2 linked regions of the Rattus norvegicus genome follow. The protein of the gene in region 2 interacts with the protein of the main gene of each other region in a pairwise test. Links are inferred from orthologs where the notes say so. Each region holds a gene or a part of one and is shown on either strand. Other genes may lie near its edges. The genes, in order: Nelfe and Nelfb.

The links.
Region 1: the proteins of Nelfb (region 2) and Nelfe interact in binary tests that used the Homo sapiens proteins (3 or more experiments, as listed by UniProt). The link is inferred for Rattus norvegicus from reciprocal best matches to the Homo sapiens genes NELFB and NELFE.

The regions. Positions count from the first base shown.
Region 1 is NC_086038.1:3,970,301-3,986,326, forward strand, and holds the end of Nelfe (negative elongation factor E), read right to left. Parts: intron 14,595-16,026; coding exon 14,525-14,594; intron 14,428-14,524; coding exon 14,282-14,427; intron 13,632-14,281; coding exon 13,557-13,631; intron 13,447-13,556; coding exon 13,409-13,446; intron 13,251-13,408; coding exon 12,919-13,250; intron 12,832-12,918; coding exon 12,687-12,831; intron 12,582-12,686; coding exon 12,527-12,581; intron 12,329-12,526; coding exon 12,226-12,328; intron 11,129-12,225; coding exon 11,058-11,128; 3' UTR 10,961-11,057; downstream 1-10,960. Other genes in the region: complement C2, read left to right, coding at 596-685, 2,432-2,572, 2,703-2,797, 2,886-3,003, 3,106-3,271, 3,380-3,456, 3,610-3,701, 3,848-3,974 and 2 more; Cfb (complement factor B precursor), read left to right, coding at 5,182-5,242, 5,330-5,563, 6,079-6,264, 6,357-6,530, 6,667-6,768, 6,870-7,006, 7,199-7,337, 7,708-7,839 and 10 more. UniProt on the Homo sapiens protein: Essential component of the NELF complex, a complex that negatively regulates the elongation of transcription by RNA polymerase II.
Region 2 is NC_086021.1:28,410,609-28,426,878, forward strand, and holds the start of Nelfb (negative elongation factor B), read right to left. Parts: upstream 14,957-16,270; 5' UTR 14,891-14,956; coding exon 14,636-14,890; intron 14,403-14,635; coding exon 14,239-14,402; intron 14,080-14,238; coding exon 13,980-14,079; intron 13,617-13,979; coding exon 13,386-13,616; intron 12,210-13,385; exon of another isoform or gene 12,105-12,209; intron 10,229-12,104; coding exon 10,043-10,228; intron 9,093-10,042; coding exon 8,980-9,092; intron 8,156-8,979; coding exon 8,053-8,155; intron 7,839-8,052; coding exon 7,743-7,838; intron 7,336-7,742; coding exon 7,193-7,335; intron 7,089-7,192; coding exon 6,982-7,088; intron 1-6,981. UniProt on the Homo sapiens protein: Essential component of the NELF complex, a complex that negatively regulates the elongation of transcription by RNA polymerase II.

The sequences.
Region 1 (16,026 bases), on a different chromosome or scaffold from region 2:
CGGATGAGTAGGGATAGAGAACATGTTTACAAATAGTTATCGGCTGTTTGTGTTTCTTTCTGAAAACTGTCTATCCAGTTAACTTACTGACTGGAAGATTTATTTCTTCAGTATTTAATTTCTCTAATTCACCGTAAACCCGGCATGTGAGCATCTTGTCTGTTGTCTGTCCGATAAGGGCTTTCTCCACTCTGTGAGCACACTGTGTGTGCACTCTGCTGACTGCTTCCTTAGCTGTACAGAAACATTTTGTTCTCTCTCGTGTGTTCGTTTTGTTCTGCCTGCATGTGTGTGTGTGTGTGTGTGTGTGTGTGTGTGTGTGTGTGTATTACACGTGAGTCTAGTGACCTTGGAGGTCAGGACAGGGCCTTGGATGTCTTGGGAATGGAGTTCTAGACAGTTGGGAGCCACCATGTAAGTGCTGGGAACTGAACCCAGGTCCTCTGGAAGAGCAACAGGTGCTCTTACCCACCGAGTCACCCCTCCAGCCTGAAGCAGTGCGTTTTGAAATGACCGAGTGTTCTGCATGCTTCCAGGGGTGTGCGGGATTCTGAAGTCAACCCAGACGGATCATTATTTTCCTTCTCTGTTCTAGGAAAGTCCAACATGGGTGGCTCTCCCAAGCCGGCAGTCGACAACATCAGAGAGATCCTGGGCATCAGTCGGAACAGAAACGACTACCTGGGTGAGGCTCTGCCCTGCCCAAGCCCTATCAGTAGGGAATAGGAATGGGACCCTCTGTGACAGGGTTCAATAGGACCTAGCTGTGGCCCTGAGCCCTGAGGGTTTCCCTGTGGTTCTGCGCGATTGTATCACCTCGAAGAGCCGGGTACCAAACTGTCCATGGTCTGTCCCTACGCTGGCTCCATCTCCAGAGGGCTGGGGCTGTGGACCGCTTCTTCCTCTGTGAGAAACAGTCAGCCGTGGGCCTGCCTCACAGGTGGGTAGGGGAGGAAGCTAAGGAAATGTGAGCTGTTGCAGAGATCTGCTCAGTACTGTCTGCCGCCGCCGTCACCATTGCCACCGTCACCATGTCAACAGCACCTCACATTTCAGGAAAACTGCAGGAAGAACTGGCCTGGGTTCCTGGTAGGGACTGTCCCTCTGGTATCCCTTCAGCTGTAGGGCAGCTAGGCGAAGTGTTGGCAGGCAAAGCTGCTGAAGGAACAAATAATTCCTCAGGGTTAGGGTGACCGAAAACCATGCTGACCAATGACCAGGAAACAACTTAAGTTTTTTCTTGGTTTATTTTTGAGACAAGGTCTTGTTCGTAGAGGCCTGGTGGCCGCAGGTGTCCTTGGCTTGTAGGTACAAAACCTCAATCTTCCCCTCTGTGGTCTCCCCAATTTCTGTTCGGTTTCTACAGCGTCCAGCTAGCTACATCTGGGTTCAAATTTCCTATGTATTTAGTGCAGTGTTGGGGACTGAATGTAGGTTTTTTTTTTTTGCTTTGTTTTGTTTTATTTATTTTTTTTTTTGTTTTGTCTGCCAGGTAAGTACTCTGCCACTGAGCTATAACCCCAGGCCTCTGTTTACTTTTGTTCTAGACACTTACTTTTGATCTATGTGTATGTGTGTGTCTGTGTGAGTACCTTTGGAGGGTGGAAGAGGATGTCACCTCTCCCCAGAGCTGGACATACAAGCAATGGGTGCCGGAGACTGAACTCTGGTCTTCTGGAAGAGTAGCAAGTGCTCCAGACCACTGAGCATCCCAACCTTCTTTTCTGTTATTTTTGGGATGGGCCCAGGCTGACCTCCAACTCACTAGGTAGCTTAGGCTGATCTTACTGACTCCATCTCCTGAGTGCCAGTAACACAACGTGAAGGACCCTGGTGGTGCACACCTTTAACCCCAGCACTTGGGAGGCAGAGGCAGGCAGGTCTCTGTGAGTTCGAGGCCAGCCTAGTCTACAGAGAGTGAGCCCTACTTCTGATTCAGATCACATCCACAATAGAATTGAACTTGGAAACATTCCTTTGGGAACACACGGTGCTATACACAGGATAGAAACAAGGTAGCCCTTCAGCATTCAAGTGGTGACATGATGTGAAGCCAAGAGGGGGTGGCGTGGGAGGGTACTGGGCATTGTAGGTTCAGAAGACATTGCTGAGGAAGACCTGTGTGGGCATCTGGAGGAGAGCGCCCCAGCCAGAGGTGCAGCTGGAGCTGAGGCCTGAGGAGGGAATCTAGGAGGCTGTGGGGGGCTGGGTGGCAGTAGGAGAGGAAGTGAACGTGTGTGTGTGTGTGTGTGTGTGTGTGTGTGTGTGTGTGTGTGTGTGTGTATGTGTGTGTGTGTGTGTGTGTGTGTGTGAAGGAGATGGAGCCCATCTAACTCAGGCCTTTGTCGGCTTTGAGAGTTCAAACACCTGCCTCATGTCTTGGGTGGCCCCTTGAGTCTCAGGCTCTGGTGATTTCCCTCCTGCCTGCCAGACATCTATGCGATTGGGGTGGGTAAGCTGGATGTGGACTGGAAGGAACTGAACGAGCTGGGGTCCAAGAAGGACGGCGAGAGGCACGCCTTCATCTTGCAGGACGCAAAAGCTGTGCAGCAGGTCTTTGAGCACATTCTGGGTGAGTGAGCTTCGTGTCCCCTGCGGGGGACAGCACAGTGGGCACTCAGACGGGTGGGGGGGGGGCTCACCACGAAGCCTGGATCGGTGGCCCTCACCCCCGTCCCCTCCCATCTGGTCTTCGCCCATAGATGTCTCTAAGCTCACAGACACCATCTGTGGGGTGGGGAACATGTCCGTCAATGCCTCTGACCAGGAGAGGACACCTTGGCAAGTCACCTTTAAGGTATCAGGAAGGAGGGGCAGGGTTCGGGTCACAGAGGTTTAAAAGCAGCCAGGCACGGCAAACCCGGACTGCTGTCTCTTCCCTGCAGCCCAAGAGTAAGGAGACTTGCCAGGGGTCGCTTATCTCTGACCAGTGGGTGCTGACTGCGGCTCACTGCTTCCATGACGCTCAGATGGAGGACCGCCACCTGTGGAGGGTCATCGTGGGTAAGTCAGGGGCTGCAGGGGACCGACCCCTCACCCGCAAGGCCAGAGTCACCACTGTCTCTCCTCAGCCTTTGGTCCGGTCTAACCCACTGCTGTTCTCAGGGGATCCCACCTCTCATCACGGCAAAGAATTCCATGTGGAGGAGGTGTTAGTTGCCCCTGGGTTTAATGTCCACGCAAAGCAGAGCCAGGGCATCTCGGAGTTCTACGCTGATGACATTGCCCTGCTGAAGCTGTCTCAGAGAGTGAAAATGTCCAGCCACGCCAGGTGCGTGGACCTAGGTGGGAGGGTACCCTAGAGAGGGCAGTGCTCTGGAAAGCACCAGAGGGCACAGGGAGGATGGGCCTGTCTGACGCTCGCTCGCCTTTCTCCCAGGCCCATCTGCCTTCCTTGCACAGTGGGGGCCAACATGGCTCTGCGGAGATCCCCAGGTAGTACCTGTAAAGACCATGGTGAGTGCTGGAGGCTTGAGGTCCTTGGTGGGTTGCGCCAGAGCTTGCTTGCGGGGTGCCAGCAGGGGTGGGGGGGGCTGCAGTCCTCGAGCTGGACACATCAGCTCTGGGTAAAGAGACCTGTATCGACATCCCCCTTCTCCCCGACGGCAGAGACAGAACTTCTGTCACAGCAGAAGGTTCCTGCGCATTTCGTAGCTCTGAACGGGAACAGAATGAACATCAACCTCAGGACAGGACCTGAGGTGAGAGCTCAGTGAGGGATGCTGGGATACTCTGGGGGGGGGGGCAGCTCCTAGAGTGTCCGGCCCTGTTTGGAGTCGGACCTCGCTGGTCTGCCTAATGTCTCCTGGCACGTCCCCATTCTTCTCTCCTGTGCCCCACGCTGCAGAGGACAAGCTGTATCGAGGCTGTCTCCCAAAACAAGGGCAGCTTCCCCGGCTTGACAAACGTCAGTGAGGTGGTGACAGACCAGTTCCTATGTAGCGGGATGGAGGGAGATGACAGTCCTTGCAAAGGTTAGTCTGGTCCCGGACTTCCAGGGAGAAAGAAGGCTGTGGTGTCCCCGTGGTCAGCACTCACTCTGAATACTAACTAGTGTGCTGTCCTGGACAATGCCGCCCTTTCTTTCTCTGCAGGAGAATCCGGGGGAGCCGTTTTCCTTGAGCGGAGGTACAGGTTTTTCCAGGTGAGAAGCAGGATCTGGAGAGGGGACTCACTGCCAGGATACAAGTGCTTTCTTGCTGGCAGCAGGTGGGAGGCCTTTGAGGGGAACCAGAGAGGTGGAGGCTTGGAGTGGGGCTGCCTTTATCTCCTCATGTTGTCTCTTCCCTCCAGGTGGGCCTGGTGAGTTGGGGTCTTTTTGACCCTTGTCACGGTTCCTCCAACAAAAACTTGCGCAGGAAGCCTCCGCATGGCGTTGTGCCTAGGGACTTCCACATCAGTCTCTTCCGGCTGCAGCCCTGGTTGAGGCAGCACCTGGATGGTGTCCTCGACTTTTTGCCCCTTTAACACGGTCACCGACTCCTTTGCTGGTCTGTCCCTCCTGTCTTCTGCCTCTGAGTGTTCTTGCTCCCAGGTACATAAATCCTGGAACGCAGAGACAAAAGCTAGGAATCCCCAGGGTTGTGCCAGAACCACTGTGCCCTCCCGAGAAGCAAGTGTCTCTCTAGTGTGGATGACCCGTGCTCCTTTTGCTTTCACACAGAATTTCCCAGTTATGAAATTAATAAAAATCAATGATTTCCACATCCGGTCTGTCTTATGTCTTGGGGGTGGGGAGGCCAGGAAGGTTCCAGGAAGGTCAGAGACCCTGCTGCACAAACAGTGGCTGGACTCTGCCCCATCACACAGCCCGGGGAAAACTGGTCTCTAAGTGGGGGGTGGCGGTGGGGGTGGTCTGGGCTTGTTACTAGGGTCTGGGGGCTAAGAGGGAGCTCTGAAAGGGAAGTTCTGGCCCTTGGTCAGTAAAGGGTGGGGCGCTCGCATAGTTTCTGTTTCCTCAGTTGGCAGCTCAGCAGGGGCCCTCCTTCATGAATGTTCCGGGAAGCAGCGTCTGTGCAGGGTAGGTTGGCCAGGCTGCAGGTGCCAGAGCAGATTGCATAAAAGGTTAGGGGCCGGTGGGAAAGGGGTGTAGCCAGATCCAGCACTGGAGTTTCAGTCTGGACAGCAAGTCAAGTAGCCACCCAGAGTGAACTGGAAAGGGCTTTTGGCCACGGGCTTTCCATGACAATGGAGGGTCCCCAGCTCTGCTTAGTCCTCTTGGTCTTAGGCCTCTCCTCCGGAGGTAAGCAAAGGACACTCCATCCTCTTTTTGTCCTCATCAGCTGTCTTTGGTCTTCTGGGGCCAGGCTTCACCAGCCTTTCTCCTCAGGTGTGAGCGCAACTCCAGTGCTTGAGGCCCGGCCCCAGGTCTCTTGCTCTCTGGAGGGAGTAGAGATCAAAGGCGGCTCCTTCCAACTTCTCCAAGACGGTCAGGCCCTGGAGTACCTGTGTCCCTCTGGCTTCTACCCATACCCTGTGCAGACTCGAACCTGCAAATCCACAGGCTCCTGGAGTGTCCTCCAGACCCGGGACCAAAAGATTGTCAAGAAGGCAGAATGCAGAGGTTGGGGGTTTGGGAGTGTGGCGGTGGGTGGCTGGTCAGAGCTGATGGAGGCTGTTCAGTGCCTGGCAGTCTGACCTGTGGGCCGGCTGAGCGTGGAAACACCTCGGGGGTTGGGGGTGCGTGTACGAAGGCTTTCCTCAGGCAGTGAAAACAATACTGGGAAACAGGGCAAGGGAGTCTGGAGATGTAGATCAGCTGGGAGAGTGCTCGCCTGCCGTGCATAAAGCAATGCTGTGCGAAGCAGGAGCAGGGGTGGCGCCCGCAATCCTAACGCTCAGGACATGGGGCCAGGAGGGGGACAAATTCAGTCATCTTCAGCTCCATAGCCAGTTTGAAGCCAGCCTGGGTTACATGAGCCCGTGTCTCAGAACAAAACAAAATAATCCCACAACACAAGAGGAGGGGACAGCAGGGTTGAGGGGACTGGGCAGGTACTGTTTCTCAGTGACAGGATTTCTAAGAGCAGGAAGGACCTAGAAACAGCTCTTGGTGACTTTTACCTGTCTCCCCTAAAGCAATACGCTGCCCACGACCACAGGACTTTGAAAATGGGGAGTTCTGGCCCCGGTCCCCCTACTACAACCTGAGTGATCAGATTTCTTTTCAATGCTATGATGGCTACACTCTCCGGGGCTCTGCTAATCGCACCTGCCAAGAGAATGGCCGGTGGGATGGGCAAACAGCAATCTGTGATGATGGAGGTGAGAACCAGGTCACCCCTGATTTTACTCCCTGCTGGAGGGCTTCACCGTGGGAATGCACGAGCACTCAAATTGTCTTCATGTCTCTGCAGCGGGATACTGTCCCAACCCGGGTATTCCTATTGGGACAAGGAAGGTGGGAAGCCAGTACCGTCTTGAAGACACTGTCACTTACCACTGTAGTCGGGGACTTGTCCTACGTGGCTCCCAGCAGCGAAGGTGCCAGGAAGGTGGCTCGTGGAGTGGGACAGAGCCTTCCTGCCAAGGTGACCCTTGACCTGCTTCCTGGGTTGGCTCTTGCCCTGTTGGCTCCACACTAGAAGTCTCTGGTCCTGAAATCCCATCACCCTGTCAGTACGTCCTCAGTACTCCAGACATCTGATCTACTCTGATCATCCCTAGATTCCTTCATGTACGACAGCCCTCAAGAGGTGGCCGAAGCATTTCTATCCTCCCTGACAGAGACCATCGAAGGAGCAGATGCGGAGGATGGGCACAGCCCAGGTTTGAATACAAGGAGGGAGGTTGAGCAGGAAGCTCAGGGAAGGGTGGGTGGCCTGCCAGGTACTGCACATGCCAGAGACTGAGACTCTGCTGGTACCTAGGGGAACAGCAGAAGAGGAAGATTATCCTGGACCCCTCGGGCTCCATGAATATCTACATGGTGCTGGATGGATCCGACAGCATCGGGGCCAGCAACTTCACAGGGGCCAAGCGGTGTCTCGCCAACTTGATTGAGAAGGTAGATCACAGCTTCCATCCCTTTGGAATAAGGGGAGCTTGTGTGGACTCCACTGCTCTTACAAGACTGGTTTCCTGTGTCTCCAGATTCTCTGGGTCCGAGTCCTGTTGTCCTCCAGCCTTCTCCCTGTCTCAGTAGGAGTGCTGACTACCCACCATAGTTTTAACACAATGGCCTCTTGCTCATGCACAGGTGGCGAGTTATGGGGTGAAGCCAAGATACGGTCTAGTGACATATGCCACAGTCCCCAAAGTCTTGGTCAGAGTGTCTGAGGAGAGGAGTAGTGATGCCGACTGGGTCACAGAGAAGCTCAACCAAATCAGTTATGAAGGTCAGAGGTCAGGGAAGGGAAAGCCGGGAGGTGCACCTTGGGGCTGTGGTGGTCAAGAGGCTCAGGGTTCTTCTGGAGAAAGTAGACAGACTACTACTAGTTAGAGGTTGAACGAAAGTGTCCTTGAGCAATAGAGAGTGCTGGGAGAGCCAAGGGCAAGCAGGTGATCACCTAAAAGTTAAATATTGCCTGGACTTGGTGGAACAAGCCTTTAATCCCAACATGCAAAAGGCAGGTGGATCTCTGAGAGTTCAAGGCCAGCATGGTCTACATAGTAAATGTTAAAGAATGTGGGATCTTAGTTGTCATAGACTTCTGAGGGGTAATAGTGGCTTGGAAGATAAGGTCAATAACCTCCCTTTCTCTATAGACCACAAGCTGAAGTCAGGGACCAACACCAAGAAGGCTCTCCAGGCTGTATACAGCATGATGAGCTGGCCAGGGGATGCTCCGCCTGAAGGCTGGAATCGAACCCGCCACGTCATCATCATCATGACTGATGGTAAGGCCTTTCTCCTACCCCACCGTCCTCTCAAGTCCTGCACAAGTGTTTGTCTCCAGCCGGTGTATCTTCCTTGACCCACTTTCACAATCCTCCTGTTTCCACAGGCTTGCACAACATGGGTGGAGACCCTGTCACTGTCATTGAGGACATCCGAGACTTGCTGGATATTGGCAGGGATCGCAAAAATCCCCGGGAGGATTATTTGGGTGAGTGGCTCACTTGGGATCCAGCACCCTCACTCCTCAGGGCCTGGACCCTTACCCTCTCCTTCTCTCCTTCAGATGTGTATGTGTTTGGGGTCGGGCCTCTGGTGGACCCTGTGAACATCAATGCCTTGGCTTCCAAAAAGAACAATGAGCAGCATGTGTTCAAGGTCAAGGACATGGAGGATCTGGAGAACGTCTTCTACAAAATGATCGGTAGGAAAGCTCAGGCTCAAGGGTGTGGAAGGGGAAGCTGCAGGCTGAGGTCGCCAACTCCTCTCACCCTATAGCCCTTAAAACCTGGAAGGCTCACCCCATGCCTATTCTTACTTCTGACATTCACTTCCTGACTTCTCACAATCACAGAACTGATAGCCTACTTTACAGATGTGGAAACTGAGGCCAAGCACAGCAAGTCAGCACCCAGACTGTAGCTAAAAATGCTCAGTCCTCAGATTGCCTGGTCAATCTTTCTCACTACGCCATGGGGGTTCCTCATTTAACACACAAGAGCCCTCTCTCCTGCTTTCCTTCCCTCTTCTGTGCCTCTGCTGTCTACAGACATGAAGGGATCCAACAAAAGTGGCAGCAATGACAAGCCTTCAGTGTTCTTTCCCTGACAGATGAAACCAAATCTCTGGGTCTCTGTGGCATGGTGTGGGAGCATCAGAAAGGCGGTGATTATTACAAGCAACCATGGCAAGCCAAGATCTCAGTCACTGTAAGCTTCCCAGCACTGGGGACTTGGGGAGGTGAGATGTCCACACTAGCTGTAATCCTGGCTGTTCAGGAAGCTGAGGCAGGGTAGATTCATGGCCTGCTTGGGCTACAGTGAGTTCAAGGTCAATCAATTCAAAACTGACTGAAAGTGGGAAAGGAAGCTGGGCATGGGACACATCCGTGCTGGTAACCTGGCATTTGGAAGTGAGCACAGCACTGCCTTGAGTCTCAGGTTAGTCTGGGCTACACAGTAAAGCTGTGTAGATGTAATGAAGAGAAGAAAGCTGGGGCTAGTGTTCACCTAGCTTGTACGAAGCTTGTCTCCAGCGCACACACCAAGGTTAGTCTGCACTGGCTTCCTAGCGTCCTCTGAAAGGACATGAGAACTGTATGGGGGCCGTGGTGTCCGAGTACTTCGTGCTGACAGCAGCGCATTGCTTCACAGTGGAAGATCAGAAACACTCCATCAAGGTCAACGTGGGTAAGACTCTGACCTCCAGGCCCATCCTCAGGAAGCACTGACGTTATGACCTGTAGCTCACCCATTCTCAGCATGCCCCTCCCTTAAACCCTGACCAATCAAGGATGGGGAAACAGAATCCAAGAGATAAGATGGGGCCAGAGGAAGGAGGCTGCTCACATAAACATGGTTCCCATTCTCCTTCACTCAGAGGGGAAAAGGCGGGACCTGGAGATTGAAGAGGTCCTGTTCCACCCTAATTACGACATCAATGGGAAAAAGGCAGAAGGAATCTCTGAGTTCTATGACTATGATGTTGCCCTCATCAAGCTCAAGACCAAGCTGAAGTACAGCCAGACTCTCAGGTGAGTGGGGCTGGGTCCCAGAGGAACTAGGGAAGGTGGGCTGGAGCATAGGACACAACAGGCTGTCTGTGGTCCCTCACTCTACCTGTCTCCATAGGCCCATCTGTCTCCCCTGCACAGAGGGAACCACCCGAGCCTTGCGGCTTCCTCAGACAGCCACCTGCAAACAGCACAGTAAGGCATAGTCTGGGCTAAGACAAGGAGGAGACTCCCGAGACAAAGGGGCAGAGGAGGGAGCTGCAAGTGTAAACTGCTCAGTTCAGGGCCTAGCACCTAAGGGCCCAAGGGACACCTGCTAGATGAGAAGCAAGGGGACAGCTGGCATGGCCCTTTTACTTTTCCAGAGGAAGAGTTGCTCCCTATGAAGGACGTCAAAGCTCTGTTTGTATCCGAGGAAGGGAAGAAGCTGACCCGGAAGGAGGTGTACATCAAGAATGGGGAAAAGGTGATAAGAAGTTTCTGGAGAGGGTCACATAGGCCTCATTCTTTCCTGAGCTAGTTTTGTTTACCACACCTTTGTCGCCTACAGAAAGCCAGTTGTGAGAGAGATGCTACAAAGGCCCAAGGCTATGAGAAGGTCAAAGTTGCCTCTGAGGTGGTCACCCCCAGGTTCCTGTGCACCGGAGGGGTAGATCCCTATGCTGACCCCAACACATGCAAAGGTGAGGTGGCTCTCTGGCTATGCGGCAAGCCCACACAGCCCAGCAGTCTCCCCTACAGCCTCTCTCTTCTACAGGAGACTCCGGGGGCCCTCTCATTGTTCACAAGAGAAGCCGCTTCATTCAAGTGAGTGGTCCCTTTTCCAGTCCATTGGGGAGATGCTCAGGTGTCACAAAAAAGGAAGCTTGATGTGCACGGCTGATAAAGGTGGCAGAACGGGCCCACCTCATCTGTTCTTAACTGGCCAGTGAAAGCCAGGTTATGTGCACCATAGAAGAGAGAGGAGCTGGCTCCCAGTGCACTTCTTTAGGCCAGCTCAGAAGCTTTCTGGGGTTATGAAGTGTCAAGTGACCATGGCCCTCCTTATCTACACAGGTTGGTGTGATCAGCTGGGGAGTAGTGGATGTCTGCAAAGACCCGAGGCGGCAACAGTTGGTGCCCTCCTATGCCCGGGACTTCCACATCAATCTCTTCCAGGTGCTGCCCTGGCTAAAGGAGAAGCTCAAAGACGAGGACTTGGGTTTCTTATAAGGAGCTTCCTGCTGGGAGGGTGAGGGCAGATTAAAGCAGCTACAATACAAATACAAAGTGTGTTCCACATCTTTTTGGGGTAAGGGAGTGGGGCGTGCACTGGTTAACAACACTGACAGCTGCTTTTGAAGGCTCAACTCCAATCCCAAGTGCTCAAAGACTAGAGGCTGACAGAGGTGAAAAGCTTCTACCCCAGGATTTTACTGAGACCAGCTTGGGGGCATATGAGGCACAAGGAATCCAGCTTCATGTCCTAGAAGCCATCCACAAGGTTTCCTATAGATCGTCACTGTACACAATCTGGGTCCTCTTGTCCCGGTGGCAACCCTTGGGGCTGTTCTGGACAGCTAAGGAGGGAGGAAAGTGACAGTTAAGGTCTGAAGCAGTGGCCGCTTCCATTAGACCTGGGGTCCAGAGCCCTGGCCCTGGTCCACCAGGGCTTACTCTGCCCTCTGGTGGCCACAGTCTCACCCTGGCTTAGAAAACCCAGAGAGTTAAACCCTGAGATCTGTGCAAATGAAAAGATCAGAACGCCTGTGGCCTTGCCCGCTGGGCAACGCTGGCTCCTCCTGGTGTCTACTGTGCTTACTTCTTCTCCAGAAAAATCTGTTTCAGGCAGAATGGGCTCCCCACACTGAGAAATCCCACCCATGGGGACCTCTGTGAACCAGAGTGCTCAGCGTTTCTTTCCTCGTCCTCCTCTCCTGCCCCAGGACTCCCTGTGGGGCTGAGAGGCAGCCTCCTCTTTGGTCTTACATCCTTCTCAGAGCCCAAAGCTTCTGGGGCTGCTCTTGGCTTGGACCCTTCTCACGGTTCCCTTGCCGCAGGCTCCACTGGGCCTAGCAAGCTGGAGGTATGCTCGGCAGACAGCAGAGCCCGGCTTCCTAGCGTTTTTGGTTCTCTAAACCCACCACGGGTCACTTTTATTTCTCCAAAATCCCATCTCTGATGGGTCCAGATGCAACAGAACTGATCTACACCTCCATGCCTGGCTTCCACCTGAGGTCCAGACCCACAGTACCAGGTCCAGACAGTGCTCCAGCTCAGAGGACACACTGGCTCCTACTTTCCTGTCTGTGACGCTCACTACTGGGGGACCCTGGTTTTTGTTTTTGTTTTTTGTTTTTTTTTTCTTTTCGGAGCTGGGGACCGAACCCAGGGCCTTGCGGTTGCTAGGCAAGCGCTCTACCACTGAGATAAATCCCCAGCCCCTTAAATAAATGGCTTTTCAAAACAAGATTTCTCTGTGCAACCCTGGCTGTCCTGAACTGAAAAGGGAACCTTTTAACGCTGTTCTCCTTCCCTCACCTGACAGATACCCTGGCAATTCTCCATCCTCTGCCTATGTGAAGACCCTGACCTTTGGCACTTTAGGCCACTCAAAGCTGTAGAGGGAACAGGAAAAGCTGTGCTGCAGGAGGGGGAGGGAGGGCCTCATCCTTACCAAGGGAGCCCCAGACAGATTTGCCAGTAGCAGCGTCCAGCATGGGCTGTTTTCGGGCTATGTTGACTTTGAGCTGCACAGATTCCACCTGGGTCCCATTGAGCTGTGGGACAAGAGGGGAGGGGACAGAGGATGGGTATTACATGGAGCCAGTTGCTGCCACCCTGGGAGGAGACCAAACAGGCATGTGAGGATGCAGGTTTTCTTGGTCAGGAGGAAAGTTTCCTCTAGGAGCAGGCATTGTTAGGAAGAAGCAGGAGGATGACAGGAGGGTGGGAGGAGCGGTCTGAGAAGTCCCAACCTCAGCAACAGCCTGATCTGCTGACTCCATCTTCTCGTAGGTGACGAAGGCACAGCTGGGTGAGAGAAGGCAGAGTCAGGGGGCTCCATGGGGCTCCACGGACCCAGTGACCCCCATGCTGCACACCAAGCGGCTCCTTCCCAGGATGCTCAATCCTTACTTTCTGGGTGGGTCCATGGAGAGGTCGATGATATTTCCAAAGGGAGAGAAGGCCCCTCGGAGGAGGGTGGGCGTCATGTCCTCTCCATACACATACAGAGTGTTCCCCTTTCGAGGGGCCCTCCGTTCGGGGAATGAGTCTGACCCTGTGGGTTAGGAACCATAGTCATTACCGAGTCCACATCACCTTCTACTTAGCGTGACCCACCTAAACCCTGGCCAAGACCACTCACTACGGAAAGGGCCCTCTCGGTCTCGCTCCCGGTCCCTGTCTCTGTCCCGCTCTTTGTCTCTGTCCCGGTCCCGGTCTCTGTCTTTGTCTTTGTCCCGTTCTCTGTCTCGATCCCGGTCTCTGTCTCGTTCTTTGTCCCGGTCCCTATCTCGGCTCCGATCATGACTTCTGTCCCGGCTGCGGCTTCGGGGAGGGGAGGCTGAGGATCGGGCACCGCTGTGTTCTTCATAGCTCCAGTCAAAACCTCGAGGTGGGCCTTCACCAGCCCCAGGGGCCTCTGCTTCTTCTCCATCTTGTCCCAGTTCCCGAAGCCGATCACTAGAAGACACAAAGCTGGGGAGAGGAAGATTACGGTGAGGATCAAAGGGGATTCCACCTTCCTCCAGACCTTGCGTAGTCAACCATGTCTCTGCAGCTGGCCCCTTCCACTCTAGCCCTGAACTTTCCAGTCACGCTGGCCTTTGGCCCCATACCAAACGATGCTCTCTAACCTTTCATACAGAGATTTCCTTTGGGGCCGTCTGGATGGCTGGGGGAAAAGAAAGGACAGAGAACAATTAAAATAACTCCCAGGCACCGGAGTGGGTGCACAATATGTGGGTCTCTTGCCCCCGATCCCAGCCCCACAGAAACCATTACCTCCTGTAGGTCCTCGTCAGCAGACATGCTCCTCTGGAACGGCTGGAAGGTGGGGACAGGCCCCTTCTCTGGGTCCTGGAAAGTGGTAGACACCCATGTTATTGTGGACCAGGAGAACTCTTCCCCCTCTCCTCGGCTTCTCTGTTAGACTTCTTATGGTGATGTGTTGGTCTTTTTGATTGATATGTTTTTTTGTTTTTGTTTTTTGTTTTTTTTTTGTTTTTTGTTTTTTGAGTTAAAGCTTTTCTGTGTAGCCCTGGCTATCCTGAACTTGCTCTGTAGACCAGGCTGTCCTTGAAGTTAGAGCTCTCGGACTGTCTGGTCCAGGCGCTGGTATTAAAGGCGTGCGCCACCATGTCTACTGATGTGCTGATTTTTGAGGAAGAGGCTTGGTCTACTCAAACCTCCCTTCAATCCAAGAAGCACAAATATGGAAAAGAGACGAAGGCATCACCCAGGTTTCTCTGTAATAGTCAGAAACCTAGGGCTCCAGTGGGCTGTGGTGGCAAACACTACCTTTTTTTCAAGGCCTAGGCCAGAGCATCAGTTGAGCTCATGAGTACAGTCAGACCCTGTCTTGAGGAGCAAGAAGGACTAGAAGTAGAGAAACACCCTAAACCTCAGGACAAGCACAGCTTGCTCCTATGTGAACATGCATGATTTCTCCCACTGACCCCCTTCCGGCTGACGCCAGGACGCCCCAGACAATCTTCCTGTGCGCTCACCTTTAACTTCCCTTCCAGGGTCCGAGAACGTTTGAAGCCTGAGTTCTTAGTTTCAGCCTTGATGGCACTGATAGCTCCTGACTTCACCAGCTGTTTGGCCTGTTCTGTTGCTGTGGCAGTATCCACCACAGGCTGCTCTGACAGTGCTGAGGAGAGAGGGACGGGGAGGGGACAGAGGCATTAGGCTGGCTGTGGAGGGAGGCCCTGTGCTGCTGCCCCCTGGACTCTGTCTCTATCACTTACAGCGCTTGACACCGCCCTGGCTCGCTGTACCACTGCTGCTTTGCTTCTTCAGAGCCAGCAACGCCTTTTTCTGGAAAGGAGAGAGGTCGGTGAGAAGAGAGGTCTGTCATCCAAGGCACTGGTCTCTTAGGTACGTGATCCCAGGGCCTGTGCCTGTGGCATCCTGGGCCTGGAGTGGTTCGTCCTGCCTTCACGTAATCACAAAGCCCACAGTACTTAATCTAACCAAACCATGGTGTTCAAAGGCTTTCCAGTCTCCCATTTTGGGAACTGAAAACCAAAAACAACTAAGCCATATCACATAAGCTGCAAATAAGCCCTGAATGCCATCCTTGGGGGTTTTATCCACCCATCTCCCATCTTCTGCATATTTAATGAGGCCACACAGAATCAAAACACATAGTTCCCACCTATAAGAAACTCAGAATCCATGGGGTTGGGGATTTAGCTCAGTGGTAGAGCACTTGCCTAGCAAGCGCAAGGCCCTGGGTTCGGTCCTCAGCTCCGGAAAAAAAAGGGGAAAAAAAAAAAAAAAAAAAAAAAGAAAGAAACTCAGAATCCAGGGAACGTAACGGCTAGACTGACAGCCAAGAATAATCAAAGGCACTAATCACTCACGGCTGAGTACAAACAACACTTTCAGATGGTTAAGTGACTACTAAACTGAGACCTGGTAGGACTGCCCAACAGACAGAAAAGATACTTCAGACAACGAAACGAAATCAGGGTGGTGAAAATGCAGAGGAGGCCTTGGAAGGCATGTTTTAAGAGAAAATGATTCTGTCGCTTTTGAGACAGATACTTCTTGAGCTGATACTTCAGGGCTCTGTTCTATACACAATGTGAAACCTCCTTAGTGCTTTCAACCGATCAGGCGAGCCCCCAAAACAGCAAAGCAAAACCCTGTTTGGAGGCGTTGGTATGAGAAATCACTGGGAGGTTTCACTAGTGAGGCTGAGGACACCTATAGTTCCATTTCCTGAGAGAAGCTGACGGAGGAAGATCACAAGAGCTCAGGAGTGGGAAAAAACACCCAACCTGGTAACATACTGAGATCCCGCTGGGGTGTGGGGGTGGGGGACACAGTGGAAGAGAGAGGAAGGAAGAAACCATTGACAGACTTGACAGATGTTTTGCTGTGTAAATAGTACAGAAGCCAGTGTGGAGGCAGAACTAGTCCAGGCTACCCAAGGCCACATATTTTCAATCCAGCCTGGGCTAAGTGTGAGACCCTGCCTGAGGCAGGGGTTGGGTGGGGTGGGGTATCAGAGGTGAAATTTTAAGGCCTATTAAGTGTGGTTGGTCCTATCTAAAAGCACAGGAAGATGGCATAACGGCATCCGATGGTGGTTCACAAGGCTCTGGATGGAACCGGTAATCCAAATGTAACACTCTCCAGCGCTTGGGTGGTTCTAAAGCCACAGGAAGGATAATTCCACAGGGGATGACCAGAAAAGAGGGAGGGTTCAAACCAAGACTGCACTCCACTGAGAGGTCCGCTT
Region 2 (16,270 bases):
GTCTGTGGCTCTCATCAGGGAAGCAAGACCACAGCTAGAGTGTGAGGAGAGGGGGGCTCTGCCCCACCCAGGGACTCTGGTCTGAATTAGCCTCCATGGAGAGAAGGCCCCCAGACGAACAACTGAGATATGCAGAGGCATAAGAGTATGGCCCAGAGAGAATTCTGCCAAACCGTCCAGAGGACGTCTCAGGTAAACACAGAGGAGCACTGCAAACTCCCTGTTTGAGGACATCAAAGCACAGCAGATGAGGTGGCCAAGCAACTAATGTGTGCTGTGTGCTGCTCGCACCCAGGGCATGGAGAGACCTGCTGCCACGGGCGGGCGGTGCTGCCACGGGGGGACCTCACAGGGCACCTAGACAGCAGGCACTCAACAAGAGCACAGGATCCCAGCCAGACCTTCTCTCAGGAAGGATGAACACAGTATAGACAGCCTTGGGACCCTCACTCCTCCTGACAACAGAGCAGATTTTGATGGCAGACCCAATTGATGCCACTTGACCTCACTGAGAAGCTGGAACACCTCAGGGATATTCAAGTGTTCTGGGAGTACTACTGAGAAGAGACTGGATGAATCTCAGTCACTTAATGACCTGCCTGGTCATTCGTGGAATCATCACCCAGAGGCTGAGGTGCTGTGACACCTGAAAGGCAAGTGGGCAGGCAGTGGGACAGAACCTTAAATCCTGACTGGAGCCCATAACACCCTGCCGAGACACAGGACTCACCCACTACCCATTTTTGGTTCTTTTTTTCTGAGCTGGGGACCGAACCCAGGGCCTTGCGCTTCCTAGGCAAGCGCTCTACCACTGAGCTAAATCCCCAACCCCTGTTTTGTTTTTTAAATTTATTTATTCTGTGTATGGGAGTACACAGTCGCTGTCTTCAGACACCAGAAGAGGGCATCGGATCCCATTACAGACGGTTGTGAGCCACCATGTGGTTGCTGGAATTGAACTCAGGGCCTCTGGAAGAGCAGGCAGTGCTCTTAACCACTGAGCCATCTCTCCAGCCCCTCCTGCTTGGTTTTTAAAATCATCTTTTTTTTGGGGGGGGGGGGTAGAGATGCCTACTAAGCTGTTCAGATGAGGGTTATGGTCTGAATGGAGACCGCCTGCAGGCTCACTTTCTGAACACTTGGTGCCCAGGTGCTGGTGGTATTCTGAAGGGGGTGAGACCTGGCTGCTGGAACCAGGTCACTCAGAGCAGGGATGGGAAGAATGTACGTGTCCTGACCCCAGTTACACTCTGCTCCTGGCCTGCCTGAGAAGCTTCTGCCACATGCTTGCTCTTCTGTGCTCTACAATGTCCTCCCCACCAAGAGAAACTGAGTCAAAATGATTCTCTCAATACTGGAGATGGCTCAATGGTTAGAAGCACTGCATGCTCAGGCAGAGGACCCAGGTTCAATCACTAACACCTACATGGTGACTCACAGCCGTCTGTAACTCCAGATCCAGGGATCTCAAGCCTCTTCTGGACTCAGTGGACACTCAACACACCTGGAACACTTACATACCTCTAGGCAAAACACTCATAAAATAAAAAATAAACTCTTACTGGGACTTGGTGGTTCACTCAGGAGGTAGAGGCAGGCAGATCTCTGTGAGTTTGAGCCCAGCCTGGTCTATAGTGAGTTCCAGGACAGCCAGGGCTACATATTGAGACTGGGTCTCAAAAACAAACAAAATACACACAAAACAAAACGAACAAAAAACCAGAAAATTAAACATACAATAAAAAAGTAGAAGACTTGGGCTGGAGAGATGACTGAGTGGTTAAGCACTGACTGCTCTTCCAGAGGGCCTGAGTTCAATTCCCAGCAACCACATGGTGGCTCACAACCATCTGTGGGATCCCATGCCCTCTTCTGGTGTGCATGAAGACAGCGACAGTGTACTCATGTATAATAAATAAATAAATCTGAAAAAAGGTGAGTTTTTCTGCTGTCTCTGTTCTGGCCGCAGAATCCAGCGCTGTACTGAACATAGCTGGGCAATGGTAGTATCACCTGCAGTGGCAGCAGCTGGAAGGTGAAGGAGGCAAGATCAGTCCGCACTCAGTGCCAGGCACATGCACGCCGTTAATCTCAGCACTCAGGAGGAAGGGCAGGTGGATCTCTAGGAGTCCAAGGCCAGCCTGGGCTATATAATGACACTCTGTATCTTGAAAAACCAAAAAAGAAGAAAGAATGAAAAGAAGAGAAGAAGAAGAGGAGGAGGAGGAGGAGGAAGAAGAGAAGGAGGAAGAAGAGGAGGAACAGGAAGGAGGAAGAAAAGGAGGAGGAAGTAGAGGAAGAGGAGGAAGCAGAGGAAGAGGAGGAAGCAGAGGAAGAGGAGGAAGAGGAAGAGGAAGAAGCAGAGGAAGAGGAGGAAGAGGAAGAAGCAGAGGAAGAGGAGGAAGCAGAGGAAGAGGAGGAAGCAGAGGAAGAGGAAGAGGAGGAAGAGGAAGAGGAGGAAGCAGAGGAAGAGGAGGAAGCAGAGGAAGAAGAGGAAGCAGAGGAAGAGGAGGAAGCAGAGGAAGAGGAAGAGGAGGAAGAGGAAGAGGAGGAAGCAGAGGAAGAGGAAGAGAAGAAAGAGGAGGAAGCAGAGGAAGAGGAGGAAGCAGAGGAAGAGGAGGAAGCAGAGGAAGAGGAAGAGGAGGAAGAGGAAGAGGAGGAAGCGGAGGAAGCGGAGGAAGCAGAGGAAGAGGAGGAAGCAGAGGAAGAGGAGGAAGCAGAGGAAGAGGAAGAGGAGGAAGAGGAAGAGGAGGAAGCAGAGGAAGAGGAGGAAGCAGAGGAAGAGGAGGAAGCAGAGGAAGAGGAGGAAGCAGAGGAAGAGGAGGAAGCAGAGGAAGAGGAGGAAGCGGAGGAAGAGGAGGAAGAGGAGGAAGAGGAAGAGGAGGAAGCGGAGGAAGCAGAGGAAGAGGAGGAAGCAGAGGAAGAGGAGGAAGCAGAGGAAGAGGAAGAGGAGGAAGAGGAAGAGGAGGAAGAGGAGGAAGCAGAGGAAGAGGAGGAAGCAGAGGAAGAGGAGGAAGAGGAAGAGAAGAAAGAGGAGGAAGCAGAGGAAGAGGAGGAAGCAGAGGAAGAGGAGGAAGAGGAAGAGAAGAAAGAGGAGGAAGCAGAGGAAGAGGAGGAAGCAGAGGAAGAGGAGGAAGAGGAAGAGAAGAAAGAGGAGGAAGCAGAGGAAGAGGAGGAAGCAGAGGAAGAGGAGAACCTCCATCTTTATGCACCATCCTCTAAACAAAGGAGAGTCAGCCCGTCATCAGAGCAACAGGGTGCCCCTGAGGCAGTTCTTCCCAATAAAGCCTGCAGCCTTAGGTGGTAAAAATACAGGTAAACATACAGGGCTTTTCTAGGTTCACCCTTGCTCTCCAACCACGACACAGAGATGTGGTGAATTAAAAGGTTCAGGCACTAAGCGGAGCAGATGCTAATCTATTCTAACCCAACTATGCTGACCTGGCCTATTTCCCAACCTATTTTCCAACCTCTTGTGCCATCATCTGCCACCTTACCTCACCCTCACTGCTCCTGCTCCACAGCCCTCCCATCCTGACCCCCTCCGATGGGACTCCCTCACTGGGACTGGAATTCCTGAATTGTTCGCTCCTGATAGCTATAGACTGATCAGCTCTTTACTGAGGAATCAAGATGACTGAGAAAAATGTTTTACAGAACATTGAGTCAGGAAATGCTTCATAATTAATGACAATATCAAAATCCAAACTGAAACCAGGTCTCAGAACTGAGAAATCAGCATCTGAATACACAGTACACAAAGCCATTCCCTAACAATCTAGTACCATCATAGAACCTCACTATGGCCCTGTTTTTACTTTAAAGAGCCCACTCAAAACTTCCTGGTTTTAAGCTTGTGCCATCCCAGGCACCTGGGGGAAGGTCTCCTTGGATAAGAAGACCCAAGGAGTTTTACTTTTTTTTTTTCAATTAAAACAAAATAAAGGTGTGATGGTTTGTATAGGTTTGGTCCTGGTGTCTGTTCGCAGCACTAAATTCCTAACTAGGACAGAAGTTGGTACCAGGAGTGGGGTATTGTTGTGATAAGCCTGACCATGTTTCTGTTTGGAAGAATGTGGATTGAAGGGACTTTGGATTTGAAAAACCATGGGATGTTTAAGTGGGGCCTAATGAGCCATCCTAGTAGAAATATGGAAAGATTTTGTTGCTGTGAGGGATTTGAACTATGCAGACCAAGCCCAAGAGGTTTCAGTGGAAAAGAACTTCACTATGTGGTCTAGAGACTGTTTTTGTAGTATTTGGTGAAGAACAGTATGTGGCTGGTTTTTTGCCCTTGTCTGAAGAGTGTACCTGGGGCTAAGGTGAAGAGAATCAGATTAATTGCATTGACAAAGGAAGTCTCAGAAATGTCCATCATAGACTTTGATCTATGGTTAAGTCTCATGAAGAGCGTTTTGAATAAGCATAGCAAGCTTAGAAAGGAAGAATACAAAATATATGGTTTGAGTATTAAAGGAGCACCAGGAAGTGAAATGGAGCTGAATCCTGTGTTCAAGGATATTAAATTGAATTAAGGGAGTGGTAAGATCTCACTCAGCTAAATTCAGGTGCAGGTACCACACACCTTTAATCCCAGGAGGCAAAGCCTTGTAGATCTCTGAGTTCAAGGTAAGTCTACAGAGCAAGTTCCAGGACAGCCACACTGTCAGTGAAGGAGTTAGAAAACAGAAAGCTGGTGATGATGTAATATAACAAGGGGGTCATGGTCTAGCCCCAGCAAGCAGCAGATTTTGGAAGCTTCAGCCATGTGTCTCTGACTTTATAGTCAAAAGGAAAAGGAAACTACTGGGACAATTGATGCTGGTTAGCTGGAGTTAAAAAATTAGCAATAGGGGGAGGGGTTAGGGGGATGTTGGCCCGGAAACCGGGAAGGGGAATAACAATTGAAATGTAAATAAGAAATACTCAAGTTAATAAAGATGGAAAAAATAGAGGCTGGAGAGATGGCTCAGCGGTTAAGAGCACTGACTGCTCTTCCAGAGGTCCTGAGTTCAATTCCCAGCAACCACATGGTGGCTCACAACCGTCTGTAATGGGATCCGATGCCCTCCTCTGGTGTGTCTGAAGACAGCTGCAGTATACTCATATAAATAAAATAAATAAATAAATAAATATTTTAAAAAAAAGATGGGAAAAAAATTAGCAGTAATTAAGAAGAGACCAGTATCACTGAGATAAAATCTGGGAAGATTTTCTGAGAGCACACAGATCCTGTGTTCCAGAGATAGCAAAGGTTGCACCTCATGCGGCAGCTGTATTTGGTAATGTGTAAGAGTCACCCAGGTGGTACTGGTTTGAAGCATGAAGGGGTCATGAAGAGCAGCTGAGGCTTGGCACTGTGAGAGGCCACGGAAGGTCATTGGTACAGCCTCAGTTGCAGTTGATGACCCAGGACTGAAGGTGTCATGCAAAGGAGTGAGGCTTGGCACCATGAAGAGAGCCTAGGAGAGGGTACTGGTGAAGCCTAGGTGCAGTGGAAGACCTCCGTGTATGGAGATGCCAGTGCCATGGGATGATCACCAAGAACAGCAGCAGCAGTGGAGTGGATCAGCCTGAGCTTAGAGTCCGACAGAGGGCAGAGCTGGAGAAGTGATGCCAGCCCTTTGGAGGAGCCCAGAAGATCATGTGTGAATCCCAGACATTGAAACAAGAAGCTCTAACACTGAAGCTGCCTTGGAGACCCCAAGATGTTTGAGATGCCAGAGCCGTGAGCTATCTGCTGAGGAAAGCTGCTAACAGGGAGTGGAATGAGCCCAGAAAAGAAGTTTGTTGCAGTCAACAGAGATGCAAAAGGAGGTGGAGATCTGAAGGTTGCTTTGACATCAGACATGGAGATGCAGAGTTTGGAGTTTGCCCAGCTGGCTTCCTGTCTTGCTTGGGGGACTACAGTTAAGGGCTTGGATGGATCTCAGAAGAGACTTGAACACTGTTGAGACTGCTCTAGACTGGGGCTCTGGAAGTTGGACTATTTGTGTTTTGCATTATGCTATGTTTAGGTGTGGCCCCAGAGACTCATATGTTTGAACACACCTATGGGGGCCAGGGAGTGGAATGTGATGGTTTGTATAGGTTTGGCTCAGGGAGTGGCTGGCACTTTTAGGAGGTGTAGCCTTGTTGAAATAAGTGTGTCACTGTGGGTGTGGGCTTTAATACACTAGTCCTAGCTGCCAGGAAGTCAGTGTTCCGCTAGCAGCCTTCAGATGAAGATGTAGAACTTTCAGCTCCTCCTGTACCTGGATGCTGCCATGTTCCTGCCTTGATGATAATGGACTGAACCTCTGAACCTGACAACAATTAAATGTTGTCCTTTATAAGACTTCCTTGGTCATGGTGTCTGTTCACAGCAGTAAAACCCTAACTAAGACAAAAGGTGTTTTATGTTTTGTTTTAAAACAGGGTCTGGGGGCTCTGGGGGTTGGGGATTTAGCTCAGTGGTAGAGCGCTTGCCTAGGAAGCACAAGGCCCTGGGTTCAGTCCCCAGCTCCGAAAAAAAGAACCAAAAAAAAAAAAAAAAAAACAGGGTCTGTCTACGTAGCCTGGGTCTTTCTGGACAACCTAAACAAGAGGGCTGGTGAGATGGCTCAGTGAGAAAGGCTATCCAAGTCTGGGGACTCGAGTTGATTTCCTGGAACCCACATAAAGGTGGGAGAACTGACTATATAGACCAAGCTTATCTTGAACTCTCAGAGCTCTGCCTCCCTCTGCCTCCTGAGTGCTGGAGTGAAGGACATGCACACCACACCTGGCTGTAGAAGTCTGAATCCCTGCTGTAGGAAATCACAAGACCCACTGGCATCTCTGAAACAGAGCCCAGCCTGCTTTACAAGCATGCACACCGAGTGTCTACTGAGGTAAATTACAAACACAGAAATCAAGCTATGGGAGTTGGAGATAAAGGCAGAAGATAGTTGGCAGAGCTCAGCAGACAGGTGGCAGGGGAGCACAGCCATCAGAACTCACCAAGACCAGGCAGCAGGCGCAGGAGAGCATTCTTGTTTCTCTGCTTGGTGATGTGTAGAACATAGTACAGTCCCACCTCACAAGCCATGCGCTGCTCCTGCAGAAACCTGCATGAGAGAAGCCATGGTCTTCCAAGAGTCAGCCTGCCAGCAGCAACTTCCCTGTCAGCTCCACTCGAGTGCCTCCCCCAAACCCTGCCCTGGAGTCCTACTTGGTGAAGCTTTCAGGAAGCGTGTTGGGATATGTGACTGGGGCTTTCTCCTCAGCTGGAAGCTTCTGATCTACGTTGAAAGTGTAGTCATCCACCACGAAGGACATGAGCATCGGCAGGAACTTGGTGATGAGCTCTGCCTCCTGGCAGAAGGAATGTCTGAGTCCATTAAGGTCCCAGTGCGCCTGGCTGCTCTCAGCAGACACCCTAACCCACTCAGCCATGTACATCTAGCCCTTATCCACCCAATACACTTGCCTCAAACTCACATTTCTTGGACATTGGGCCCCCAAATCCCTCCTTCCTGTTTCCTGAGATTCATGTCTACTGCTATATTCTTGAATGCCCCCATCATGGCTGCACCTGCAAAGCCCCATCTGGATCCCAGCCCCTAGAATAGCTTCTACCCTGCAGCTAGTCCACCAAGACACCCAAACACCCTTGATGGGAGCTCCCCTAAAAATGACTCTAGGAGTAGAGTTGTGCTACCAGAAGGCCCCCACCCTTGCACTCCCATAATTTAGCAGAAAGGAGGACCCGGGCCTCATACCATCTTGGGCTCCTTGAAGACCTGGCTGTCTATTAAGTCCCATGCACCTTGGCCCAGTGCCAGCAGCCTAAGGAGGAGGAGGAGGTCGGGACTGTCCTGAAAGAACACAGAGGCATCGGCAAGGGCTCCCAGGGACCATGCCATCCTCTGGTCTCACTGGGCAAAGCAGGCTCTCTGCTTTCCAGAGCCAAGACCCTAGGAGTGTGTGATCATAAGGCACCCATGTGCCGATACCCACCTATGGAGAAAAACCCAACTTTACAAGTGACAGTCTGTGCTTTGCGCAGTCAGCAGCCATGACTATGCTCACCCTGGGCAGGGTCTCCTGGCTAACCAGCTCCTGCAAGTGCCTGATGGTGCTCAGGGACAGAGTGTTGATGGCAAAAGGGTCACACAGGATCATAGACAAGTCCCTGGAAGGAATCAGACCTTGATATAAATTGAGGAACCTGGTTACTCTGTTTCTAATAGCCACAGTGCCAGACGCACTAAAGGGACAGCCACAGACTGGGATGCAAGGGCTTGGGGACTGACCCCAGATAGCCAGCCTCTCTGTGTACTGAATTCATAACTTACCCCCTAACTTACTCAAAGATCTTCTAATCTACAAAGTTAAAGAAAAAAAATTAACCCTCAACACACTAAATCCAGACCCTGATTGAAAGACCCTGAGTCGGGGCAAGCAACGATGATACATGACTTTAATCCTAGCATTCAGGAGAGAGAAACTCATGATGAGTTTGAGGCCAGCCTGGTCTACACAGTGATTCTCAGGTCAGCTTGGCCACAAATCAAGAAGATCCTGTCTCAAAACAGAACAAACCCCTGGCTTCAACTGTAGGCTTAGCCAGTGAGTGGAGAATATAATAAAGAAATGTGGCAAGGCCGTGGCAGCCACAACATCTTCACGCCAGGCAAAGGATGCTGGGAATCAGGCTGGAGTACCTAACCCAGCCTAAGCTCACACCTAACTTGCCACAGACAGCAGCCCCTCCCTGACTCAGCTCCCTGTGCTGCCTCGGGAATAGCAGGCCTCAAACTCCAGGCACAGGCATGGATTCTCTTGCTACTGAGGCTCATTCCAAGTGATGTGTTAGCACCCTGTTAACAATGGGCCTAGTACCAAGGATGAGCATCCCAAATATACCAGAACAGGCTCCAACTGCCAAAGGTGAACAGCAAGCCCCACTGATGTCTGTTTAGGGATCAAAGGGTAGGGTCCTTAAAAAGCTCTCACCCCAAAACTTGTTCCTGGCCCTTCTTCACACCATCAAGGAATCCCTGCAGCTCTCGGGCTCGTTTGCTGTCCACAAACCGCTCACGGATGCAGGCATCCAGGCACCAGGTGAACTAGGGGATGGAAATAGACAGTCTAGATACACACAGACTCATTCCTCCTCACTCCACTGCCACTACCCAAATGGCTGTGGGAACCACAAGGCCAAATACAGGAGAGAAGCAAAGATAAACACAAGCCCAGGGCCAAGACCCCAGCCTAGGCCAAACGCAGGGCAGAGAACGAAAGGGGTCCCTGGAGAGAACAGAGAAAATGGCCATCAGGAAAAGGGGTAGCCGAAGGGGGGCAGCAGCAGTCTCCAGGCCTAGACAGCCAACACGACCATTTGCCGTGCACTCGATCGGCAGGTATTAACAAAGGAAACCAAACAGTTCTCATTCCCAGACATTCCCAGAGACAACATGGCACAGGACTGAGACACCAGTGAGCTTTCATGAGGACTAGCAGGAGGTCTCCCTAGGTCTCAAAAGTACTAAGGATCAGGACAGCACATGAGAGAGGCATATTTATTCTTCCTAGAAGGGAGCTAAGGAGGGCTGGCAGACAGATGGACAGGTTATGGCAGATATGTAGTGCTGCTCAGTGCCTGGCTTTGATAAGCAACACACCATGTACCCATGAGGTGGTCTTAGGTGTCCTGTGTTCTTGGTGGGGGATAGAGGGAGTGCAGAAAACCTCATTCCTTTATTACTTTGCTACTGGACAGCGAGAAGCCCTGAGGGTTCTACGGCAGTAGACACCAGGAGCCCAACAGGAAGATGGTCTCAGGGCCTGCTGCCACTTGCAGCTATAGAGCAAAGGCTAGAGGGACTGCAAGGGAGGCACCAGGAGGACAACCATGTGTCTGCAGGACCTGTTCATCCACTCCCAGTCGAGCTGAGGAGCACAAAGCTGGCAAGCTGAGAAGCAAGCTTAGGCGCACGTGGTCAGCAGCCACTCCTAGGTTGGTGAGTGCAGAGGAGAAGGGCGCAGGAGAAGTGCAGAGGGAGGCAGGCACCACTACCTTATGGCAGGGATCCACGGTGCAGATATCACTGACATCCAGGTCATGCAAAGACATCAGCAGCTCGGCTCGTAGCGTGCAGTAGTGCACATTCCTGGTCCGAAGGAACAGTGTGCGCAAGAACTGCAGCACCATGTCATACAGCTTCACGTTCTTCCCTACCATCTGTGTCAGCTTCTGCACCACCTAGGAGCAGACAGACAGACGGAGTCCAAAATCCCACCCCGGGACAAGGAAAGGTGGACATATCTAGCACTTGGGAAACAGAGGTAGGTGGATCTGAGTTCTAAGTCAGACCGGAACTCGTTCCAGATCAAGTTCCAGATCAGCCAAGGTTACATAAAAAGACTGTGTCTCAAAAGACTAAAACAAAACATAAAAGCCCAGCACCACCCAAGCACAACACGACACGGACAAGTTCCCCAGGCCTGGATACAGAGCTGGCCGCTCTGTTTCGGCCATGAGATATTTCTTTCTCTGTCATGAAATGCTGGCACTATATTCTAGGGGGCCAGCTTTGACTACTCCAAGTGAAAGATCCACATTCATCCCAGGGACATCCTAAAAGGCCCTGGGTCTGCAATCTACTGTGCTTCAAGCACTCACCTGTCAGGTTAAGGGGTAGGTGACTCATCCTAGAAGCAGTGGTGAGAACCAATCTGAAGAACGGGCCCAACACAGAATGCTTGGCTACACAGCTGCTGCCTTTGGGCCTAGGTGAACGCCTATCAGGCCACACTGGGCTCTCTGCTTTCCTGTCTTCTAGTACTAAACCATAAACACTGACACCCAGCTCTTCCTTACCTTGTACTCTAGGCAAGGGCCATGAAGGGCACCTGCCTGTTCCTTTGGCAGGTGTCACCCACCTTACATGTACCCAACTACAGCAAACCAAACAGTCCAGCTCCAATAGCTGGGGGTTTAGGGAATAGGTGTGCCTTTAATCCCAATACTCAGGAGGCAGAGACAGGCAGGATCTCTGAGGTCAAGACCAGCCTGGTCTAGAGGGAGTTCCAGGACAGCTCAGACTACACAGACAAACCCTGTCTTGGGAAGAAAAAAAGTCTTCACCAACATAAAGAACTTTCACTCAGCTACTAACTGACCACAGTCAACTGAGTCTCAGGCCTATGGTACAAAGAGACATTTAGGGTAAGTCCAGAGTTAAGATAGCACAGGAAGCCCAAGGCATCAGGTTAGCCTCAACAAGAAGTGAGGTCAGCGGGAGGAGGTAGAAGAGTGCAGGAGCCAGTGGCTGGTCTGTTGTTTCACTCTCCAAGACCCCTGCCAAGAACTCTCGGACTGACCTGGATCTTCATCTCAGGAACAAAATCTTCACTGTTCCTGTCACTGAGCCATGTGGATGGTCCAAAGTTCTCCTATTCACTGGGCACAGACCACAGATACACTCTAACCCTGACACAGAGGGACCACCTGCTCATAGGCAAGACAGCTAACCTACAGCCAAGACTGTAGGGTGATCCACCAGCTCTGTCCCCAGGGTTGGAGAATCACAGAGCACTGAGAGTGTCTGCAAAGTCTCCAAGAGGAGAAACAGGCCAGCATCAAAGTGCCACAAATCAGACTCATCTGCAGAAACTGACAACGGAGAATATCAAGAAAGGTCTTTGGCACTTAGAACTGTAATTCTAAATCTAGCCACTTGGCCCAGGAGTCCAAACAGTGTCCATTGTGTCAGCTGTGGAAGCTCACATGAGGAGTGATAAACTCCAACCAGACAGGAATGAAAGGAAAGGAAAGGAAAGGAAACCTGGAGGCTGTAAGAAACGGCCCTGTCAACACGGGGCAGACACTGGGCTGACCGAGACCTATGCGGCCTAACACGTCAAAGTCAGAAGCAGAAAGTCAAGAAGGCCTGGGGACCTAAGAGCTTGGTGAAGCAAGGAAGAAGCCAGAGTACCACTGGGAGCTAGACAACTCGAAACTGTGTACCCAAGCCCAGTGCACTTCTGCCCTCCCACTCTCTACTTTATTGACGTGACAAAGGGTCTCTCACTAAATCTGCAGGCCCTCAAGTCCCAGTGACTTCCCCTGCCTCTGCCTCCTCCCTCCCAGCACAGAGACTAAAACTGGAACAACACAGAGAAGGTTAGCATGGCCCCTGTGCAAGGATGACACACAAATACAAGAAGCATTCTGCATTTAAAAAAAAAAAAAAAAAGCTCATCTATTTTTGTCAAAGTAGACACTAGAAATTTTTTTTTCTTTTTCCTTCTTTTCGGAGCTGGGGACCGAACCCAGAGCTAGGCAAGTGCTCTACCATTGAGTTAAATCCCCAACCCCCCGACAGTAGAAATTTTTGAATGATTTATATAAATTTATCTTTCTACTAAACAGTGTTAATGTAAAGTAAGCTAGTTACAAAATCTTGACTTAAGAACTGGCAAGATGGCCAGAGGTGGTGTGTAGGCTTTTAATCCCAGTACTCAAGAAGTAGAGACAGGCAGAGTTCAAGGCCAGCCTGGTCTACACAGTGAGTTACAGGACGCCCAGGGCTACACAGAGAAACCCTGCCTCTAAACAAAGACTCCTGCAAGTTGTCTTTTGGTCTCTACACAACATGGTCATTCACAGAGATACATGATAAGTAACTTAATAAATAAATTCTCAACATAAAAGATGATGCTTATGGGCTAGAGAGATGGCCCAGTGGTGAGTGAGCACACTGCTCTTCCAGAAGAGCTGGGTCCAATCCCTAGCACCCCACCAGGCAGTTCACAGAGTCCAGCCCCATGGGCATCTGACCTCTGACCTCTGTGGGCACATACTCACACATGTTGTATACAAACAGGGAAACATCAAGAAATAATTAAAATTAATTTAAAACATTTTAAAGATGTCACTTATGACCCAGACATGGTGCCCACGCCTTTAATTCCAGCACTTGGGAGCAGAGGCAGGTGGATCTCTGTGAGTTCAAAGCCAGCCTAATCTATATAGGGAATTTCAGACCAGTCAGGGTTACATTGAAAGATCCTGTCTCAAAAATAAATAAGGAAACCACTATGGTAAATTTGAATTTAGAATTATGCCAACATCAGTAAGAGGTAAGAATAATAGATAAAAAGTTAAATTCAGTGTTTTTCTTTTCTTTTTTTTTCTTTTTTTTTTTTTTTTTTGTGATGAGATCAGGCTGGCCTCAAACTCACAGCAATCCTCCTGCCTCAACCTCTGCCAACCAACTTTTTCCAGGCTACATACATAAGTTCACGCTTACAGAAACAGACTAAGTAACACACACAGGGAAGAGGCAAGGAATGAAGGGCTGGCCACACTCCTGCCAGGCATTTGCCTCACTGAGCACACCCTGCCTTCCTCTCACCTCTCCCTGACGCCTGGTCTTGGGGGAAGGGCTGAAGAAGTTGTGCAGGACAGAGAGCTCCGTGCTGAACAGTGCACTCTCCTTCTCTAGGATATACTGCTTCAACAGTGGTGAGACTTCATCACCAAAGAGAGCCTGGTTATCTTGCCAGATCTGCCTCTTCACTTCCACAGCACATGCCCGGTACAACTCCTTGTCAGCCATCACCAGCTTCAGCTTCTTCTCAGGAACCTACAAAGTAAACACCACAGCTCCCTGCAAGTGCTGCCTGTGTCGCCAAGACTCCTCCACCAAGGCCTCAGTTGCCCACAGACCCTCTAGAGCCCAGCCACATCGAGGAGAACCTGTGAAGGACTTCCAATGCTTAGCAGGTGAGTTCAGACATCCAGAATCTCCACCACCCTCTTCCCAGGAAAGACCCACAGAGCACTTTAAGGGATACATGTGCTTCCACTGGGCTCAACCAGGGGAAGTGTATGATACAGAGAAAGTGCCCAGAGTTTGCCAGGGAGCAAGTTCATAAAACTTTCCCAGAGCTAACCAACCGCCTGTACTAATCTCATGATCTACAAGGGCTGGCTCCACAGCTCTCACCTTGGGCAAGTGTTTCATAACACACATCACCACTGGCTGTAGGGATGGCATCTTGACCAGAGAAAAGCTCTTTTCCAGAAGGTCTTCCAGCTTCTTGTACCTGCGAAGACTTGCTCAGTTGTGTTCTCCACATGCAGAATATACAGAGAAGGGGAGTCTCTCAAACACATTCAAGGTTCTAGCTACAAGTAGGGCTGTGCAGCCACGGAGACCGTAAATGCTACTCACAAACATAAGCAGCTCCCTGGTAGAGACCCACCTCTCCTCTGCCTTTCCCTCAGAGGCAATAGCTGACACTCGTTCCAGCAGTTTGTCGCGTAGCTCATCAAACACTGACTGATGGAACTCCAGCCGCGGTGTCCCGTGTAGATCCAAGAAGGGCAGGGCCGACTGCAGGGAAGGCAGCAACACGCCATTCTCTGTCTGGAGAAGCAAAGGGTAAACGCGTACGCATTTTGCTTGGCCGCAGCCAAATCAGCACGGGCACCTCGGATGCCCTGAGTAAACGGGTCCGCCATGGTAACCGCGGGAAAGGAAAAACGCCGAGAGTTACTCAGCGGGTCCCTAGCTCAGAACCTCTAGTTCTTCCATCTAAGCATCGGGAGCGCACCGAATTGTGTCCCGCTTCCCTAGCTGCCCCGGTCCCTTCTGCCTACCTGAAATTGCTCAATGGCCTTGAGAGGCTCGGTGCAGTTGGTTAGGGTCTCTTTCAGGTCCTCGCCATTGGCCACGCCCAGGTCCTGGAGCCCCGCAAACATGGCCGAGGCTCCGACGGCCGCTCGGCTGTGTACCCCATCCCCGCCGCGCTCTGCTGGAGCCGTAGCGGACGCTGACGGAGCCCCAGACGTCCTTTCCACGGTGCCACGAGGACCACCCAAGCCCCGTTCGCCCGCCGCCTCCAGTGTGGCCAGATCGCGTCAGCAGAGCTGCTTGCACCGACCCACACCTCCCACTTCCGCCCTTGACTGTCTAGGTCCAGCAGCCAATAGGCCCCGGGAAAACGCCGCCGCCGCGCGCAGGTTCCGGGCAGCGACTTGGGTACAATGGTGGGGTCGGGATTATCAAGCAACTCTAGCCCCGGCCGCCGCCAGTGCTAGGAAATTTTCAGCCTTTCACTTCATCTGCTCTCTGGGAACCAGAACCTACGCCAGTTCCAAGAGATCTGATGCCCTCTTCTCACCTCCACAAACGCCAGGCATACATGTGTTATACAGACATACATGCATTTATATGCATAAATGAAGTCACTTTTTAAGTGAGTTCTGGTTTGGGCTTAGTGGTACGCTTTTTTCCCCCTTGAGACAGACACTTTAGACCAGGTTGCCTCAAACTCAGATCTCCTTCCTGCCTCTGACCGCTGGGATTAAAGCCTTTAGGCTTGGGCTGTCACACTTGGCAATAATGCTTTAATCCTAGCACAGGCGAATCTCTGTGAGTTCAGGACTAGCCTGGTTTACATAGTACCTTCCAAGACAGCCAGGGCCTCCTGGGGAGGACGGAAAGAAAGAAATCAGCTCTGAGAGCTAGGAAAATGGCTCAGCAGTTAAGAACGTTTTCTGCTATTACAGGGGACCTGGGTTCAGTTCCAGCACCTACATAGCAGCTCTGTAACATCAGTTCCAAGGAATCTAATGTCTTCTGGGCACTAAGCACACATGATACATGGACCATACTAGCAAGCAAAACACCATAAAATACATTTTTAAAATGTTCTTTAGTGAGATCTATGTCTGGGTGAGGAAGAAAATATGGAGAGGGCCCTGGAGAAACTACTATGACTAGCTGCAAGGTGAGGCTCCTGAAGGGTACTCCTTCTAAGTAGGAAGGCAGGTCAACAGTGCTGAGGGAGCCATCACTGGGCAGGGGCTAGGGCTGAAGGCTTTGGGCTTGGGTTCTCAGAACACAAGTTAGCAAAAACAGTTGAATCTTCAGGTCGAGGCTCCAGTAGACCCATGTCTGGTGAGCTGACTCCCTGGGTCCTACCTCATGGGCTGGGCAAGGCTGTGTGAAGACAGCTCCATAGGTTCTGGCTTCCCATCCCATCCCAATAGTTCCACAGCCAAGCAAGCAGCCCTGATCCTCAGGTAGATGCTGGACCTCGGGTGACTGGATCAGGTTGTCCCACATTGCCACAGGGTTCTTTTCCTATTCTATCCTAGGTCAGAAAGCTTAGGGTTAGTTCCCAGGCTACTATTTCAATCCTGAAGAAAAGAACACCATGCAGGAACAAAGAAAGCCAGAAATACCAGGGAAGCAGGAAGTCACATATTCAAGACAGCCCATTAGGCAAA